Mus musculus: one gene and its partners. The protein of the gene in region 2 purifies or fractionates together with the protein of the main gene of each other region. This does not show direct contact. Links are inferred from orthologs where the notes say so. Each region holds a gene or a part of one and is shown on either strand. Other genes may lie near its edges.

Evidence for each region.
Region 1: the proteins of Zzz3 (region 2) and Kat14 purify together in Homo sapiens (affinity purification with mass spectrometry; 4 studies listed by BioGRID and IntAct, with this or other methods). This does not show direct contact. The link is inferred for Mus musculus from reciprocal best matches to the Homo sapiens genes ZZZ3 and KAT14.
Region 3: the proteins of Zzz3 (region 2) and Yeats2 purify together in Homo sapiens (affinity purification with mass spectrometry; 3 studies listed by BioGRID, with this or other methods). This does not show direct contact. The link is inferred for Mus musculus from reciprocal best matches to the Homo sapiens genes ZZZ3 and YEATS2.
Region 4: the proteins of Zzz3 (region 2) and Tada2a purify together in Homo sapiens (affinity purification with mass spectrometry; 4 studies listed by BioGRID and IntAct, with this or other methods). This does not show direct contact. The link is inferred for Mus musculus from reciprocal best matches to the Homo sapiens genes ZZZ3 and TADA2A.

What each region holds. Positions count from the first base shown.
Region 1 is NC_000068.7:144,366,891-144,372,110, forward strand, and holds the start of Kat14 (cysteine-rich protein 2-binding protein), read left to right. Parts: upstream 1-2,144; 5' UTR 2,145-2,171; coding exon of another isoform or gene 2,172-2,267; intron 2,268-5,220. Other genes in the region: protein PET117 homolog, mitochondrial precursor, read left to right, coding at 2,172-2,267. UniProt on the Homo sapiens protein: Component of the ATAC complex, a complex with histone acetyltransferase activity on histones H3 and H4. May function as a scaffold for the ATAC complex to promote ATAC complex stability. Has also weak histone acetyltransferase activity toward histone H4.
Region 2 is NC_000069.6:152,450,852-152,455,324, forward strand, and holds part of Zzz3 (ZZ-type zinc finger-containing protein 3), read left to right. Parts: intron 1-451; coding exon 452-547; intron 548-1,139; coding exon 1,140-1,292; intron 1,293-4,473.
Region 3 is NC_000082.6:20,147,206-20,151,678, forward strand, and holds part of Yeats2 (YEATS domain-containing protein 2), read left to right. Parts: intron 1-3,236; 5' UTR 3,237-3,255; coding exon 3,256-3,355; intron 3,356-4,473. UniProt on the Homo sapiens protein: Chromatin reader component of the ATAC complex, a complex with histone acetyltransferase activity on histones H3 and H4. YEATS2 specifically recognizes and binds histone H3 crotonylated at 'Lys-27' (H3K27cr).
Region 4 is NC_000077.6:84,126,299-84,131,534, reverse strand, and holds the start of Tada2a (transcriptional adapter 2-alpha), read left to right. Parts: upstream 1-1,966; 5' UTR 1,967-1,998; intron 1,999-4,439; 5' UTR 4,440-4,522; coding exon 4,523-4,547; intron 4,548-5,236. UniProt on the Homo sapiens protein: Component of the ATAC complex, a complex with histone acetyltransferase activity on histones H3 and H4. Required for the function of some acidic activation domains, which activate transcription from a distant site. Binds double-stranded DNA.

The DNA of each region.
Region 1 (5,220 bases), on a different chromosome or scaffold from region 2:
CTAGCAACTATTTTAAAGTAAATAAATAAGTTGCTTTTCAGGATCTGATGGCACACAGTCATTCAGCTACTAAGGTAAGTAATAATAATTATAAAAAACATCTTGCTTTGGTTTGTAATCATTGGCCTACACTTTAGACACAACACTTACAGCTGCCTCCTCCTCCTCCTCCTCTTGAGACATTGTTTCTGTGTGTAGTCCTGGCCATCCTGGAACTAGCTCTGTAGACGAGGCTGGCCTCGAACTCAGAGTTCTGCCTACCTCTGCTTCCCCAGGGCTGGGATTAAAGGTGTATACCACAACTGCCTAGCATAAGAGATTTTTAAAAACAAAATACATTTAAAGAAGACAAATTGGAAAATTAATCACAATAGAATGCATGGTCATTTATACTTCTGGTGTCATTCCAAGGCCATTCATAGCTGTTACACTCGCTGATTTACTGGATGAAAAGTCTGGGGTTATCATAAATAAAAAGTATTGTGGCATGATTTTTCCTTAGGGAAATATGCAAAAATAACTTGAATCTCTTCTCATTCTAAAAGTCACTGGTCCCAAACTCTATTTTCACATTCAAAGATATAACCTGGGCTGGTGAGATGGTTCAACAGGTAAGAGCACTGACTGCTCTTCCAAAGGTCCTATGTTCAAATCCCAGAAACCACATGGTGGCTCACAACCACACGAAATGAGATCTGATATCCTTTTCTGGTGTGTATAATAATAAATAAATCTTTGTGCTGGCGCAAGCAGAGGTCCTAAATTCAATTTCCAACAACCACATGAAGGTTCACAACCATCTGTACAGCTACAGTGTATTCATATACATAAAATAAATCTTTAAAAATAAATAAACCTAGATTCTTTAAAAAATAAATTAAAGTCGGGCGTGGTGTCGCATGCCTTTAATCCCAGCACTCAGGAGGCAGAGGCAGGCGGATTTCTGAGTTTGAGGCCAGCCTGGTCTACAAAGTGAGTTCCAGGACAGTCAGGGCTACACAGAGAAGCCCTGTCAAAACAAACAAACAAAGAAACAAACAAAAAACACCAAAAAAATTAATTAAAAAAAAAAAACCAAAGATATAACCAATGCAGTATGCTAACTGTTCATAATAGTATTTTCTTCATGCCGTTTGGGTTCACTTAACAGAGAACGAAAGAGCAAAGCATACTGAGACGAAGTGAATGTTGGGGAAACACTGGGAATACCTAATCAAGGCCTGAATGAGCCTTATCATTGTTGTCTATCGGTTTTCAGCAGCAGCTTTGAATGTGTACTTTCCTGGGTAAGAGTGATTTACTGATATGCCATTCTTCATTGGCATCACAAATACTTAAAAGTTCTGGGAAGCCAAGTCTCTTTTTTAATTTAAGGGGTAAGTGCAAATGACACCATCCTTAGCCTCTTGTGAACTACTCTGACACAAGGATCTTACAAGCATTCCTGAAAGGCTCCAAGGGCATCAACGACATTTTTTTTTTCTTTTGGTTTTTTGAGACAGGGTTTCTCTGTATAGCCCTGGTTGTCCTGGAACTCACTTTGTAGACCAGGCAGGACTCGAACTCAGAAATCCGCCTGCCTCTGCCTCGGGAGTGGTGGGATTAAAGGCGTGAGCCACCACGCCGGGCAACGCCATTTCTTAAGATTACAGGAGCTAAACATGTCCGGATCCTTGCCTGACCCAGTGCATTTCCCAACAGAAGTTTAGTAGGCAACAAGGTGTAGCCGAGGCTGAGGCAGGATTGCGAGTTTGAAGCTAGTTTGAGCTGCACAGCAATACCTTGTCAAAAAACCAACCACCCAGCTTTTAGACTCTAAGAAAATTTAGGGTCTGATCAGTCGCCCCATAGCGACCAGATGTCCTCCGTACATACTCCACTGGCACTCCCAACCCCACCCTCGCGACTCCAAAGCAGCCCAGCACTGCGACTTCCTGGTGAAGGCGGTCCCCAAATAGGAAAGCCAGGGCCCCAGGCAGCCACTCCCAAGAAGCAGCGAAGCGGGCCAGGGGTTACGCTCGGCGCTCGATTGCTAGAGCCTGGCGACGATAGCACTTGCAACGGCTCTGCGCTCGAGAGGTCGAGCCTGGCCCGTTGCGGCTGCGGCGGCGGCGGCGGCTGTGGCGGCGGCGGGGGCGGGCGCGGGAGCGAGTCCGCGGCCGGGAGCGGGAATGTCGAGGAGTTCGAAGGCAGTGCTGGGCCTCTCGGTGCTGCTGACGGCGGCCACGGTGGCCGGCGTGCATCTGAAGCAGCGGCAGGACCGGCAGGTCGGTGTCACGTGACCGCGTCTTCCGGGGCGCCGAGCCCGCAGCTGTCCCTGCGCGCGTGGCGGGCCGGGCGGGCTGCAAGGGCGCGTTCAGGACGCCGACTTCTCTCCCCCAGCCACGAGGCGGGAGACTGGGGCGGAAGCCTCGGGGCAGGGGTGTAGTCCAGAGTTAGAGAGTTGCTAGGGTGAGCTCGAGGCCCTGGGGGCAGCACAGCCCACAAAGCCTTACCCAGGAATTGTTAAATCCGGAGATAAAGCAGCTCACACCCAGCACACCCCCCAGTGCCTTTGGCTAAAGAAACTTGAGATTTTTGCAACTTGCATTAACAAAACATTTTGCTACTGGACTTAGGTTCTGGAAAGGATAAAAGGTAGCGAGCGCCCTTCACGTTTTCTTTTAATGGCTTTCTTTCGGAGAATAACTGGCTTATTAATCAGCGACTAACCGACTCTTCCTCATTCCAGTTTGCAACGCTGGCTAGTGCGCTGAGCACACTGAGAACACATAGTTAATTATAACCTCTCGAGATTGTTCTTTTTATAATGGTGCCACACTGTGCTGGCCAGTACTTGGTATTTGCCCTTTCAAGCAATACCTTTACAGTTATTTGGTTTGAATCGGATTTGCCATGGGCAGAAGTTACTGAAAGCCTCAAGAGTCACCAGACCATCGACCTTTGTATTCACAAACTAGGAATTGCAATGAAACTAGGCTTGCAAATTCAGAACCATTTTGAGGAGCAGGGTCGATGTGCAGTGATGGAGAAGCACACAAGGAATTAAAGATTTGGGATTAAAATATGGTTCCCCAGGGATATCTTCTGGAGTAGAAGCAAGAAACTTCCTTCTTGGGAGGAAAAGGAAAAGATGGTGGTTCTAATTAAACTTGGAAGACAGGGTGTCTGTGTCCTCCTGATGTGTTTTGGAGACAGCGTTTGCTATCAGTTTTGTTTCAAACTCTGTTCCCCTGAGAAGTTTTTACAGTATGAGCAGACCAATTAAATCAGATCTCTGGAGCATGGAGACTCAGCTGTGTTCCAAAAGGCACGCCAAAGGCTTTAATGAAACGGTTGAGAATCACAGTTAGAGAATGGAAGTGTGCAAAGATCTAGTTATTTCTTGGAAGTTAGTGACCAAGACATACTGACCAAAATAAGCTGTCCAGTAGCTATTCATTAGCGACTTACTGTAACATCGAGGAAGGTAGATGTCTTGAAAACTTCAAGGTGGCAGTAAAGGAAATAATGGCTTGTTTTCTGTCTACCCACACCAGACACAGTGTTTTTCACTTTACAGACATTGTCTTTAACTCTCAAAGGAACTTAGTAGACATCAATTACAGATGGTTCCTAACTTAAAGATGGTTAACTTGGTTTTATGTATGTGTTTGGGTGTTTTTTTTTTAAAGATTTATTTATTTATTATATGTAAGTACACTGTAGCTGTCTTCAGACACTCCAGAAGAGGGTGTCAGATCTTGTTACAGATGGTTGTGAGCCACCATGTGGTTGCTGGGATTTGAACTCAGGACCTTCGGAAGAGCAGTTAGTGCTTTTAACCACTGAGCCATCTCTCCAGCCCCGGTTAACTTGGTTTTTAGGAAAGCAGTATCGTTTGTATTTAGTGAAACTTTCTTTGAATATTGAATTTTGGTATTTTCCCAGGCTCAGGATCAATGGTAGGATTCTTTCAAAATGCCAGGCAGCAAAACAAACCTCAGACCCCAGGGAGCCCCGGAATGCTGATGTTCAGTGGTATCATGTCAGAACACCTTTATTATTTTCAGTTTATCATGAGGTTTTCCAGGTATGGTCCTATGGTAAGTTGAGGAGTGTTAATGATTCTACAGGAATCAAGGCTCCAGATGCTAGAGTTAGGTTAGTAAAGAGCTGTGTTAGTTAGGGTTTCCTATTGCTATGACAAAGCACCATGACTAAATGCACCTTGGGGTGGAAAGGGGTCAACTTCCAGCTCCATATCACAGTTCATCAATGAAAGCAATTGAGGTGATAATCTGGAAGTAGGAACTGAAGCAGAGGCTGTGAAAGAGCTGCTCACTGGCGGCTTATGTTAAGACAAAGTCTTTCTGTGTTGTCTTGGCTGGCTCAGAGCTCAGAGAGATCTGCCTGCTACTACCTCCTAAATTCTAGAACTAATGTACCACCATGCTGGACCTGAGCCCTCACTCTTACATTTCCCAACTCCACTGGTGTAGCAAATGTAGCTGTAGGCCTGGGAGAGGCTCAGTAAGAACTAGGTGAGTATTTATTTATTTATCTATTTATTTATTTATTTTGAGTAGACTTTATTGTAAAAACACAAACCCCTTGCAAATAAATAAAAACATCACACATCAAAATTAATGAGACTCAAAGTCTGTACAACTCAGTGAACTGCACAGTAAACGTTCACATGTGCTTTATTTATTTTTATTGTTTTATATTTAAGAGGGTTTGCATGCATGTGCGAGCACTCATGCATATCTGGTGCCTGTGGAGGTTAGACAAGGTCATCACATCCCTTTGGTCCAGAGTTACAGCCACTTGTGAGCCTCTGTGGAAACTGAAGTTATGTCATGCAAGAATGAGCACTTCTCTCCTGAGCCCTACCTCCAGCCCTTCTGTATGGTTAGGAGAGGTAGGTGTTCATTCAGAACGGAAGCTCTGGAGCTCCACTTTCAGTACTGAATTCGCTTTTATACACTTACCCACCACCAACCCCAAAAAACCCATGACAGATTTAGACCCAGAAAAACAATCAGCTTATATTCCCTTTCATAGTTTGTATCCATTCTCGTCCAGTCCTTCCTCATCTCCTTATATATAGCTTTTCTTGTTCTCTTTTCTTCATGATATGCTGTACCCACATGCACCTTCATTTCTGTATTTACAAATAACATTGCTTAGATTCTGCATATGAGAGAGAACTGCAGTTTCTTTCTGAGAGTGTGTGAC
Region 2 (4,473 bases):
GCTTAGTGTCAATGTAAAACATTATGCATGTGCGTGTGTGTGTGTGTAATATATACAAATTATATATACACACATGTATTTATGTATGTATTGGACCTTGCCTCTCTTGAGTGTTTAGTGAGTGTGCTGACAATGTCCTTTTTTGTTAGACTGTGCTATTGGATTTTGTGGCATTTCATTAATACCATCCCTGATTGTCTTGTTTTCTTTTCTGTAGTACTGGCAGATAGGGCTTCCTGTGTGCTCCTCGGTGCTCACCAGGAGGAATGATTGCTTAGCTTTGGGATCAAACAAATGGAAATTGACTTGAATTGGTTTTGTCTAGGTTATAACTTATAAATGTCTTTGATGGCAATTTAAAAGTTACTTCTTAATTTAATTGTTAACCACTTAAAGCATCTCAAATATCAGATTATTTCATTATGTTGAAAGAGCCGTCATGTTTCTTTAGGTCGCCAGTCGTGTACAGAAGTACTTCATAAAGCTAACGAAAGCCGGCATACCAGTTCCAGGCAGAACACCTAACTTATATATATACTCCAGAAAGGTAAGCAGTCCACACGGCCAGACCTCAGCGAGGGTCGCTGAGCTCAGAAGTGCTGAGCGCGTGAGTTTGTTAAGCTGTGCTCCCCTTGTGCTTGCCATTTCTCTGTAGGCTGTACATGAACCAGTGGCTCTTTCTGTGTCTGGTGTGCACTGGTCACGAGTGGTGTCTGTATGAGCGGCTGCTATGAGGGTTGTGCCACCACATAGATGTAATCCAATTCCACCACTGCCCTCACCTTGGAACTCCACCTCCTCACGCTTATAATTGTGTAGCTCCCAGTTGCAAGGATTAAGTGATAATGCATAAAGCAAGTAGTCGCTCCATGTTAGGTGATTGTTTATACACTCAGGTAGTATGGAAACTTCTCTCTCTTTCTCTCTCTCTCTCGAGAGCGCCCCCCCCCCCCCCCCGTAGTTATTGTCTGGCTTAGATCATTTTATTTTCTTTGATTTTTCAGTAAAAGTTTATCATAAGAGTTGAGTGTAGCCAGCATTGAATGCTCGTAAATGGTGGGGTATATGTATGGTTTTGTACTTTTGATTCTGTTAACGATTTTCCACTGTCCCAGTAAAACACTTGTTTTCTCCTCTAGTCCTCAACAAGCAGGCGACAGCACCCCCTTAATAAGCACCTCTTTAAACCTTCCACTTTCATGACTTCACATGAGCCACCGGTGTACATGGATGAAGATGATGACCGGTCCTGTCTCCATAGCCACATGAGCACTGCTGCTGAGGAGGCCTCAGTAAGTTACTTGCCTGGTTTTTATACAGATGACTGAACAATACACAGTAAATAACTCTCCGATTATCCCCACTCTTCAGGGGGTGCTGACATGTCCCCTTTAACTCACAGCTTAGAGTTAATATAGAGTTAATGAACTTTAAGTATTCTTTTGTGGAAAATTCAGCATAGGCATAAGAAGGCAGAGTAGCCCGGTGAACCGGGATCCGTTACTGAGCTTCTGTGATTGTCACCAGGCCATAGTTTACACATCTTCTTACCCGGTTCTGCTTCAAGTTATTTTGGAGGGAGTTCCAAACACCAAATTGAGGTTTCTGAGAAGGTAACTTCACATGGAGTAGAATATTTGCTCGCTCTCACTCAGGGCCCTGTGCACACTAGCAAGCACTCTACCAACTGATGTGCTACAGTGTGTGTTGCAAGGACTGAGTCCTTTGTGTCATTTAACTCACTCTTCTGCTCTGAAGTTTCTGTAAAGTGGTTGATTCCTTGCTTGAACAATATATACTAATACTCTGATTGCATAGAATCAGAGCAGGAGATTTTAATGATAGTTGGCAAGAAAAGATACTCCTTTCTCTTAGATAACTATGTAGTCACTGTAAAATTTTTCCTATGGAAATGCCTAGTCTTTAAATTACAGCTTGTGTGTGTGATTTTGTACTTTGTGATTGTTAGAATGACTCGTTTGAAGAAATACTTACCTAAACATGTTACGTAATAGGCTGTGCTGGGAGTTTGATAAGGAGTTGTAAAAATACATACGTCTTTGTTCTTCTAGATCTTGGGCTTGTTTATTGATCACGTTGATAAATATTTGTTAAAGTCCTTCAAAGGAATAAAAGGAGCCTTCATAGTCATTTAAGAGAGATACTTAGTTTAGAGAGAACGTTTAAGAGAAAAGTGTTAGTGACGATGGTGCCATGTGAGTCACAGCTAAGGTCACCCCCATTGATTCTCGATGGCCTCCCTTATGCCAGGTCTCTGGCTCGTCCTGAAGATGCCCCCCTTCACCCCATCATTGCTAATTTCCATTTATTTTCTTGGTATCTAGCCATCTCTCGTGTCCTAGGCCTCCCCACACATATGTAGAGGATGTACAGCTTGGTCTTCCTGTGGGTTCCCAACAGCTGGAATGGGATCTTTCCCAAAAGTTGTAGCCTGTATGTGAGATATATTCTAGCCGAGACACTTTGTCTGAGAGGAAGTCACAGAGACTTGAAGGGCCAGAGTAGGGGGATACCCAGGGAGTTCCCCACCTGCTCAGAGAAGAGGCGGGGGGGGGGGGGGGGGAGTGGGGGGGTGGGATAGGGGAAGGATTGTGTCTGGGCGGGGGAGGGTATGACTGGGAGAGGATGTAAAGTGTAAAAGTAAAAAAAAAAAAAAAAATATATATATATATATATATATATATATATATATATATACACACACACACACACACATATATATATATATATATATAAGCCATGTGAAAGGGGTGGCAGAACATTTAAAACAAGCACTCAGTGGTAGCCACTTACCAAGTGTATGCAAGGCCCTGGCTTTAATTCCTACTACAAAATTTTTTTAAAAGTTGACGAAATAATGTAATAAGTTAAGTTAGATTTAACTTTTTGTTGGTATTATTTATTTTTAAACAGTACTAATACAAATCATATTGATTACTGTTTTGGGAGACAGTCCCTCTGTGTAGCCTAGGAACGTCTTGAAATGATAATTCTACGTCAACATCCTTAAATCTAGAATTAAAAGTATGTATCGTCATGCCTTTCTGATCCACAGAGCTGTTTAAGAATATATTTATGAGTCTTGATAACATGTATAGGTTTCTCTTTCCAGAGATGCAGCAGCTAGAGAAATTAAATATGCATAATTTATTCCTTAGTTTGAAAAATCTGTATTCCACCTTAGCCTTATTTGAAAGTTGTTCCTTTTTTAGGTAACATTTGAGATAGTATAACTTAGAAAACTATGTTAATAAGTCATTTGTGTTAAAGTACAGTCTCAGATCTTCCCCGCTCCACTACCTGAAACCATGTCGACAGCATTCTTCCAGCTCCTTGTTCGTACCCACCATCCTTCATTTTGTCTGGACAGATTTGACAAAGTAAACACGCAGGTGGCTTCCATATCTGTAGGATCTTTCTGCGTCTATGGAGCTAACCCATCTGTACTACAAATGTGGAGACTTTATAGCAGTTGCAGAACTGTGAAATGGAGGAAAGATGCTGGTGGAGCGGGAACTGCAGAAGCTTCTATGCAGTTGAAGACCTTGAACCTGACTCCTACCTATATTCAAAGCTGTAGTACTAGTTAACAGACTTGAGTCTTGACAGAATCAGTTAGATAATGCAGGATATTTATGTCTTGGGCAGCCGGGTGTATCGTGAAATGAGGGTTCAAGTCATCCACTAGTTAATTAATTTCACTAATTAATTGTATGCTCTGGAGCAGTCCTTACAAGTTCTATAAGCATCCATTTCCTTAATGTGAAGCAAAGAATAGTAGTTAATAACAACTGATCTGACAGTGGCTGAGGGAGATGAGATTTTTATCTTGTCCAGGATTGAGAATTCATGGATCTTGGGCATTGGATTCATGGTGCATTTAGGAAACTTGTAACCATGGGGTCAATCATTAGGATGCAAAGGATCCTAGGTAGCAGGGCAAGACTGGGCAGATACAAAACCAGGATAGTGATTAGATATCTCAGTAGGCTTTTGGAAACCAGGATGAGGTGAGACCTCACAAGAGAAATGGAAAGCGGCATTGTGAGAGACTTATGTGCTGTTTGGGAGCAGATATTACTGTGGGTCAAGGGTGTGGCTTTTGGAGTAGGAGCCAGAGAAAGGTTGGAGGTAAGATCACTGTAGTGGAACTGAGAGCAGAGAGCTGGCAAACAGACGATCGGACACTAGGAGAGTCTTCGCCTTGCCCAGCATAGTGAGTGGTCTTCATTGTCAGTCACTGTTGCAATGAAATTGCCGGTCAGTTGTAGAGTTGGGGAAATCAGTACTGAATTTTACATCTTGAAGTCAGTGTTCTATGAACCTTTTGAAGTATTTATATAGTCCACAGTGTTTCCTAAATAGTGAAAAGTGTACTGTCTTGATCAGCTATTACAAATGCAGAGTATACAACAAGGGCAGAGATTTTTTTGCTTGTTCAAAAAAAAATTA
Region 3 (4,473 bases), on a different chromosome or scaffold from region 2:
TTTTCCAGTTTTAACTGATTCAAAGTTTAGGATTAGTAAACATTTTGTTTCCAAATGGAGCTGATTCCTGTCTGTGCCTGAGTCTGTGCCTTTAATCCCAGCACGTAGAAGGCCCAGGCAGGCAGATTTAAGAGTTCTAAGCCACCCAGGGCTACATATTGAGACCTTGCTCAAAAACAAACCAAAGCAAAAAACCCAGTGTTTCCTTTCCATAAATCCAAAATATAATATCATACAGTTACAGTCCCGTGTAAGGGAATATGCCTCTGCAAATGTGCCTAACCTTTGCTGACATGGTTTTCCTAGGCAGAAACAGACCTGAATTATTCTAAACCTCTCAGGATGGTTGCCACCTCTTCCTTAGTATGTTTAGCTAAAACTTAAATATCGTTTGAAATGACAGAGGAAGCTTCGTTGCAAGTTCTTAATGTAATAAATGACCTTGCATACATCAGTATGTTGATGGTTTCTTCCTTACCTGTCCTCACTCAGACCGTTCACTTCTCCCTTCTTGTCCTCAGTTTTGCGTTCCTTTGAGTGAGAATAAAATAACACTAGTTGGTTTTCCATGAACCTTCCTTCCCTCTTACTACATCTTTCTGGGCAGGATTATTCTTGTGATTATTTGTGATGGACAGGACACTCACACTATGGATTCCATAGATAGGTGAAGATGACACTCCTCCTGGTCTCACATTTACAGATAATGCCCTAAGACTTTTGGCACACTCTCCAGAGTTTGGCCACCTCTGGGGAAATGGTGTGGCTCAGGAGCGGATATGAAGGTCTGCTGGGATGTATTGATCCCTGCAGGTAGAGGATCTTTTGGGTGTTATTGTTTGGTCTTTCTTGTAAGAAACTAGGAGCTGGAGAGGTGGCTTAACAGTTAAAAGTATTGGCTGTTCTTCCAGAGGACTAGGGTTCAATTTCCAGCCCTTACCTGTCCAGCTCCATTTCCAGGAAACTCTTGTCACATACACACACATTTATACCTAGTGAAAATAAATTGGCCATATAGATTTTTTTGTTTGTTTATTTTTGCTCGTTTTGGTTTTTTCCATTACCAAGATACTCTCAAAATTAATCACAAACAAAAGAAGAAACAGCTTCTGTGTGACTTCCTTTGTGAGGTTCTCATGGAGTTCAGGCTGACTTTGAACTCGCTGTGTAACCCAGGATGACCTTTCCTCCAGCCTGCGATCACAGGTGTCTGCCACCTCCTGCTTTGTTTGAATGTAGTACTGGAGATTGAACCCAGAGCTTCATGCATGCTGGGCAAGCGCCCTCCTACTGAGCACCCTACCACCTCACACCACTTTTTCCTAACTTTAAAATAATAGTAGTTAGATTCCAGACCTTCCAAAAATACTTATGTTATAAATTACAGCAGGTGACTTAAGGTTATGAAACAACTTTACATGGCTTTACATAGGGTACTTATAAATGCTGCATGCTTTTTGGAGTATTTTGAAATTAAGTGTTACCATCCAGGCTTTATGTATCTGTATAGTGACTTACTGTCACCTGAATCAGGTGACTGTCTCTGGGATAAACTAATTCAGTTCTCTTGAGTGATCTCTTGGCTATCTGTTTAATTTTATTGTTATTATTGTTATTTTCTGTGTATGAATGTTTTGCCTACATGATGGCTCTGTGCTCTTTGGGTGCCTTCGATCTTCGGGACCTGGAGCTGCATACAGTTGCACATCATCATGTGGGTGCTGGGAGTCAGACTCAGGTCCTTGGAAGAGCAGGCAGGATTCTCAGCCACCTCTTCAGTCCCTCTTGGTATTTAAGACAGGTCTCCTACAACTTAGGTTGGCCTCGAACTTGATATGTTGCTGAGGCTGACATTAAATTCCTCTACTCCCAAGTGTTGTAATTAGAGGCACCATGGCAGGCTTTCTGTGTTGTTTTGCTCTTTTAACAAAGAGCTGAGGTTCTTTTTTTTTTTTAAAGATTTATTTATTTATTATATATAAATACACCGTAACAGTAACTGCTTACTGCTGGCTATTGAACACTGGGAATTCGCTGTCAAGAGTTGACTATGGCAAAAAAAAAAAAAAAAAAAAAAAGGAACTGAATTTTATACTTAATTTAATTACTTTATTTATGTATTTAATTTTATATTATGTGTCTAGATGGTTTGCCTGCATGTGTCTGAACCACATGCATGCCTGGTGCCTATGGAGGTCAGAAGAGGGAGTCAGAGCCCCTGGAACTGAAGGTTTTGTGTCACCATGTGTGTGCTGGGACTCCAACTCAGATTCCCTGGAAGAGCAACCAGTGCTCTTAGCTGCTGACCAATCCAGACCCACTTTATTTAATTTTAATCAATTTAGTTTAAGTAGCCACATGTGGTTAGTGGCTAATGTATGAGACATTGTGAAATTAGAGGATTCATGGGATTGTTTTATATGTAAGTCTGGCTAATTTACCATATTGCAAAGTTAGTCATTAGTTTAGCCATTAAGTACACAGTTACATTTGTTATAAGTAATACTAGAAGATCAGGGATAGTTTTATTGAGTACCCACTATAGCAAGCACTGAAGAAGTAATGGAACTGGAGTTTGCATATTAGAATGAGCCCTGAGCTATACTAGTCATGCTTTGAGATGTGCTTAAAAACTTTGTGAATTACACAGCACTGAAAGCTTAACATTACTTTCATCAAACTCTGGTTTATTCTCATATCCTTTTGTGAAAGCTAGAGTTCTTTTGAAAAGTATGAGCAGGGCCAGGCATGATCATGTATGCATTTAAAACATCCCTGAGTTCAAGGTCACTCTGGTCTTCTTTGAGCTTCAAGGCAGCCAGGGATGATTAACCCTGTCTCAAAAAAAAAAAAAAATTAAAAATTAAAAATAGGAGGAAATGTGAGAAGCAGCAGAGCAGTGTACAACATTGTTAAGGAATTTTCCCCTGGAAGGGAAATTCAGAGTTTTTAACAATAGCCATGCTGATAATGCTTTTGACTTAATGTTGTTGGCTAAGTACACACAACACTGAGAGTTAGGCATCCCTAACGAGAAAATCTAAACTCTCCCAAGGTTGAAAGATTTCTGGATCTTTTCAGACCAGTCATATTCAGCCTATATATGCACAGACTTACACAGAATAAGTACCAATATTTTGTAGTGTTTGTTTATTACCTTTGTGTGTATACATAAACATTTATACATGCTAGTATTTCATAATAGTACTATTAATGTGTTTGTTATTGCTTCACAGTGAAGAATTGAATTTCACCATGTCTGGAATCAAGCGAACAATCAAAGAAACTGACCCTGATTATGAGGATGTATCTGTGGCCCTTCCAAATAAGCGGCATAAAGCGATTGAGAGTTCAGGTAGCCGTCGAGTTGCTTTTGAGACTTAACTTTGCTGACATTTGCCTGTGCATAAGGGTTTATAAAATCTACATGAATATCTACAATCATATATAAGCTGAAGGATATTTGAAGGGTTAGCCTAGTGCTCTGTGCAGTTCACCATGTGTCACATACAAGGGAGGGGATCTGGCAGGAACATGATTAAAGTAAGCTGTAAATCTTAGCTATTGTTGCAATATAGCTAAAATCAGAATGTTGGCAACTGGAGAGATGGCTCAGTGGTCAAAAGTGCATTCCAGTCTTTTTATTTCTTAAAGATTTTCCCCCCTTTTTGGTTTTGAGAGAAGGTCTCTGTTATGTAGTTCTGACTGTTCTAGAACTAACTCTAGATCAGGCTGGCCTGAACTTACATCGTCCCACCTGCCTCTGCCTCCTGGGTATCAGATTAAAGGTATCTGCCATTGTGTTCAGTGTTTTGTTTTGAGACGGGGTTTCTCTGTGTAGCCTTGGCTGCCCTGGAACCCACCCTGTAGACCATGCTGGCCTTGAACTCCTGGGAACTGGGATTAAAGGCCTGTGCTGCTACCAACTAGCCTTTTTTTTTTCTTGGTAATTTTATGTATATAAGTGTTTATGCACCATGCACATGCATTTCTTGTGTAGCCCAAAAGAGCCCAGGTGTTGGAGCCTCTGAAACTGGAGTTGCAAGAGATTATTAGTTCCAATGTGAGTGTTAGGAGTCAAACCTGTTTCCTCTGCAAGAGTAGCCAGTGCTCCTGACAGCTGAGCCCTCACTCTAGCTCCCAAGTTCAGTGCTCTTGCAGAGGATCCAAGTTTGGTTCCCAGCATCCATGTCAGGTAGGTCACAGTAACCTGTAACTCTGGCTCCAGGGAAGTAGATGCCTTCTTTGGTCTCCATGGGCATCTGCACTCACACACATAAACATATAATTAAAACTGAAATAAATCTTTAAAAATAATAATATAAAATCAAAGTTTTTTGATGTCTCTGTAATATGGAATAACCATGTGAGGTGATTGTATGTAATAAAGGTTTTTAATATAGCTTCATATTATTTTTATGTATATAGAAATAAAAATGACCAAGTTGTTTCATGGATACTGTTGCTTAAATA
Region 4 (5,236 bases), on a different chromosome or scaffold from region 2:
TCATACTTTGTTGGATCCCTTTGGATACATTTTAATCCATTTAAATTTCATCCCTCTTGGACATTTTATTTTTTATTTTTTTGGTTTTTCCAGACATTGGACATTTTAATTTATCCATTTTTTGAGTCAGGGTCACATGCACCGGACTGAACTGGAATTTTTTGCGTAGGCTGACCTCCTGTGTGCTGGCATTACAGGCATGAGCCACTATTCTTTTCTTAAATACATTGATGTCTACCCTTCATGGAATTCTATCATATCCCAGTGAAATAAAAAAATCCAACCAAAGTTTACCAAGTGATGTGGGACCTGGGTCCAGGCTGTTTTCCATCAAATCTCTTTACTTGGATCTGCTCCAGCCACTCTGACCTTCTTGCTTCTTCTTCTCCATGCCTATCAAAGCCACGCACCAGGGCCACCGTACCTGCTGAGTCTCATCTATGGTTCTCTCTAGAAATCTGGAAGCTTCTGTTTCTCATTCAATAATTGGATTTCCTCTTGTGTGTTATGTCTGCTAGGAAGCCTTTCTTCCCTATCCTGACTAAAAGAAAATCTATCACTGTTATATCTGGATCCTGATTTATTTCCCATAAAACCACATTATGAGGCATTTAAAAATATTTGTTACTTATATATTAATATGCAACATACTTATATTTTATTGCTTATATATAAAATACACAAACCTTATGTGCAAGAGCATATACTTCGCTCACTACCAAATTCTCAGCACCCAGGGAAGTGGCTGTTCGTTGTGCTTTTGTGAAATGAATGGATTTGGAGAGTCAGTAAATGTGAAGTACTCTATAGCATCAACTGTTTATTTAACGTGGTGGGGATGACTTTCACATGTGAATTTTTAATGTTTTTTCTTTACTACTCTTTTTTTTTTTGAGACAGATCTCTTACTCTGTAGCCCAGATTGATCTCAATCTCAAAGCAATTGTCCTGCACTCTCCAAGTGTTGAGATCACAGATGTGAGCCACTAATTGCACCCAGCTGCAGATTTTATTTTTATTTTAACAATAGACTTATATTACCTGTGTACCAAAAAACAAATCAAGATGCCACACGGGCAGATATCGTATAAATGAATTCCAACAGAAATTGGGCAAATCTATGAAACAGATTTTTAAATAGATATACAGCATAATAGTTAAGATCAAGCCATGGGTTGGAATAGAGCTCTTCCCCAACACTTGGTAGCACTGTGATCCTAAGTTATATATTTCAATGCTGGACCATGAGGACAGTAACAGTGCCTCCCTCAGAAAGTTGTTTTAGACGAACCCTTATGTGTAACCCGCTTTGTACAATGCCTGGCATGCAGTATTGAAGGACTCCACAAATGGAAGCTCTTATAAGAATCTATACTATTAGTAATAAGAGATGTTGGGACATACCTAGCCCTCAAGAGTGACATCAGAGTGGACCACCACATCATCACTGCGTTTCCATGTGGGCCTCTGAAGCCCAGGCAGGGGATGGGTCTTTCCAGAGAAGGCAATTTCGACGTCCCAGAAGCATCAGAATAAAAAGGACCCTCTTCACCCCTCAAGTCATTCAGTCCGGGTAATCCATGAGTGGCATGATGCGCCCGGGGCTCGTCATCCTCCAGTCCAGAGCCTGGGCAGCCTCAGTTTCTTTGCTTGCAAAAGAATTGGAATGGGACTGTTAAGAAAAAAATCTAGACTGAAACAGCGGAAGCCGCCTTAGCACATGCCACCGGGCCGCTTGTGGCGACGGAGAAAGTGACAGCAGGTCAGACTTCAGAGCCCACCGACTAGCAGCCAGGTACCACGCTCCCCATCCCGGGGCGGCGCCACCGGGACCCGCCCGCTGCCAGACTGGAGGAGGCGGGACCGCCTCGGCGTGCTCGCGGCACGGGACCGCGCACGTGAGTCGAGGCCGCGCACGCAGGCCGCGGCGCGCACGCAGAGTCTGCACAGCGCGCGCAGCGGCGGGCTCTTCGGCGCCGAGGTGCGGGACGTGGCGAGGTGAGGCGCGGGGCCGAGCGGCGGGAGCGAGGGCACGCGGGGTCACGAGGTGCCGGCTGGCGCGGCGGGGCCACGCGGCGGGGGAGGTTGGCGCGGCCGGGCGAGTCCCGAGCCCCTCCCCCCGGCGGCTGGCGGTGCCGCAGCTCCGTATTCCCGGCTGGGCGGTGGAGCACGGCCCCGGCCCACCTGACCCGCCGAACCCCCACGTGGGTCTCCGCGCCCCAGTGTTTAGCACTGTTTTGCGGTCGAGGCCCGGCTACAGTGACCTGCCCAAGACCGTGCAGCTCTAAGGATGTTAACTGCACAACTGCCAAGCCCGCGGCTCCCCTGTGCTCATGGGATCCTGCCCCTCCATGCCTTCCCTGATCCCTCTTGTAATTAATTTAAATGTAGCCCATCTCTCAAGGATGTTAGTGTCACTGCGTGGTCTTCTAAGGAAGGAGAGGAAGGAGGATTTTGCTTTCTGCAGCATTGTGCTTTGCAATGTGAAGTGTTTGTCAGAACGTACTGTAGAATCTTTGCCACTGTAAAGGTCTTGATAGAGCCCTGCTGTTCACCAGGCTGTAAAAACATTGTGCAAATACCCCAATCTTTAGCGCTTCATTTTCTTGGGGAAAACAGCCTATGTCAGGAGATTGTTAGGATTCCAAGATATAGTCCCCGTACTAAGATTACATTTAGTACCTGACATATGCCTTTGTTAATTTTTTTTTTAATTAATTTTTTTTTTTAGTCAGCCTCATGTATCTTGGGCTAACCTTGAACTTAATGTAGCCAAGAGTTTCCATGAACTGATCGTACTGTCTGTACCTCTGGAGTACTGGGTTTGTTTGCTCAATGGATGCTGGAGTGTGAATATAAAGCATCCTTGCTAAAACACCCTACAACTGAACTACTGAGCCACAACGTTCTTCAAAGATCATTTTTCTTGGAAATAGAGTAAAAACTCACCCCTACCCAAAATAGCCTAAAGTTTGACCCTCAGCCTTCTTATCTAAGCATTGCATATACTTTGTATGTCAGTCCCCAAGCTAAAAATGTCAACGTGAAAAACCTATTTTGGTTGGAGAGATGGCTCAGCGGTTAAGAGCACTGGCTGCGCTTCCAGAGGTTCCGAGTTCAAATCCCAGCAACCACACGGTGGCTCACAGCCATCTGTAATGGGATCTGATGCCTTCTGGTGGGTCTAAGGACAGCTACAATGTACTCATATAAATAAAATAAATAAATCTTTAAAAACAAAAGGGGGGGGGGCTGGAGAGATGGCTCAGAGGTTAAGACCACTGACTGCTCTTCAGAAGGTCCTGAGTTCAATTCCCAGCAACCACGTGGTGGCTCACGACCATCCGTAGCAAGCGCCCTCTTCTGGAGTGTCTGAAGGCAGCTACAGTGTACTTACAGATAATAAATAAATAAATCTTAAGGAAAAAAAAAAAGAAAAATCTATTTCAGGAGAAATGAAGGTGAATTAGCCTTTTGTTTTGTTTGTTTGTTTGTCCCCCACCCCCTGAGACAGGGTTTCTTTTTTTTTTAAGATTTATTTATTTTATTTTATTATATGTGAGTACACTGTAGCTGTCTTCAGATGCACCAGGAGAGGGCGTCAGATCTCATTATGGGTGGTTGTGAGCCACCATGTGGTTGCTGGGATTTGAACTCAGGACCTTCGGAAGAACAGTCAGTGCTCTTAACCACTGAACCATCTCTCCAGCCCGAGACAGGGTTTCTCTGTGTGGTCCTAGCTCTGTAGACCAGGCTGGCCTTGAACTCAGAAATCCACTTGCCTCTGCCTCCCAAGTGCTGGGATTAAAGGCATGTGCCACCACTGCCCGGCTGAATTAGCCTTTTATAAAACTAACATTTATTTGTCCAAATTGGTATTTGCTTTGTTTTGGCTTGGGTTTTCTTTCCTTTTTCCCCTCTAAGACAGGGTCTCTCTATGTTGCCCTGCCTGCCTGTCCTAGAGCTCACTCTGTAGAGTAGGCTGTCTGTGGTTCCTGAGTGCTGGGATCAAAGGTGTGCACCACCATGAGTTTCAAGCAGTCCAAGATAGCCAGGGATGACATTGAAGTCCTCCTGTCTGAAGGAGTAAGTTACTGATCCGCATATGTTGGGTAGGATTCCTTAGTTTCCAGTAATAAAATCCAATTTATTTTTTGAGACAGGATCTCACTATGTAGCTGGCTCCGAACTCTTCATGTAGACCAGGCTGGTCTTGAACCAGAGACCTATTTTCTTTTGCTTCCTGGGTACTAGGATTAAAGGTGAATACCACCATACCAGCAAGTTCCAGGTTCTGTAAGGAGGCTGCACTTCACATTCTGTGAGCGAGGGGGGGGGTCTGAGTGTTGTGGTTGGCAACCACACAGTTGCCGTGTCGGGTTGCCAAAATATACCTTGGACTGGTTTCTGATCTGTGTGCATCTTCTCTTTGTTCTTAGGGGATCGTGGGATTGTTTGGCAACGTCTGAAGTCTTGAAACTCTACATCAAGGGAGATCAAGCAGCCATCAGTCAGCTAGAGGATGGACCGTTTGGGTTCCTTTAGCAGTAAGTACAGTGGGACAAGTCTCAAGTGACAATAAATAGCCACCTAAAGTAGAGGTTGATCAGGGAAGCAGCGCCTTTGATAATGCCTGAAGGAATTAGGAATAGCACATAAAAGTAAAGTCAGGCAAGACCGGTCTGTTGTTTGCCTACTGAATGTGGCACAGCTTCATCACTTTAGAAAAAAGCCAAGCTGAGTGAACCAGTCACCATATGGTTGATCAGGAAATAGACGTGTTTATTTTGAGCCCAGGGTCTCATGTAGACTGGCTGGCCTGGAACTGGCTTTGTAGCTAAGGATGACCTTAAACTACTTATTCATCAAGTGCTGGGATTTCAGGCTTGTACCATCATTGGATTTCAAAGAAATTAGAGATCACAAAATTGGGCAGTGCACACAACAGACACATACACACACGCACAGTCATAAAGTTGATGTTCATTAGTAAGACCCAGAAGTATGTTGTTAGGATTTGGTTCCTGTCGTTGTATCAGAGGCACTCTGCATCTTCCCTCCGTATATTCAGAAAGTTAGAATCTTGGACACATCTAGTTCTATATTTTCATCTGACTAATGTTCCAAGTGTAAACTGAAAGTATTCCCACCTCTTGTCTTTCAAGACAAGGTTTCTCTGTGGAACTGAAGCTGTCCTGGAACTCTCTGTAGATCAGGCTGGCTTCTGCTTGGTAAC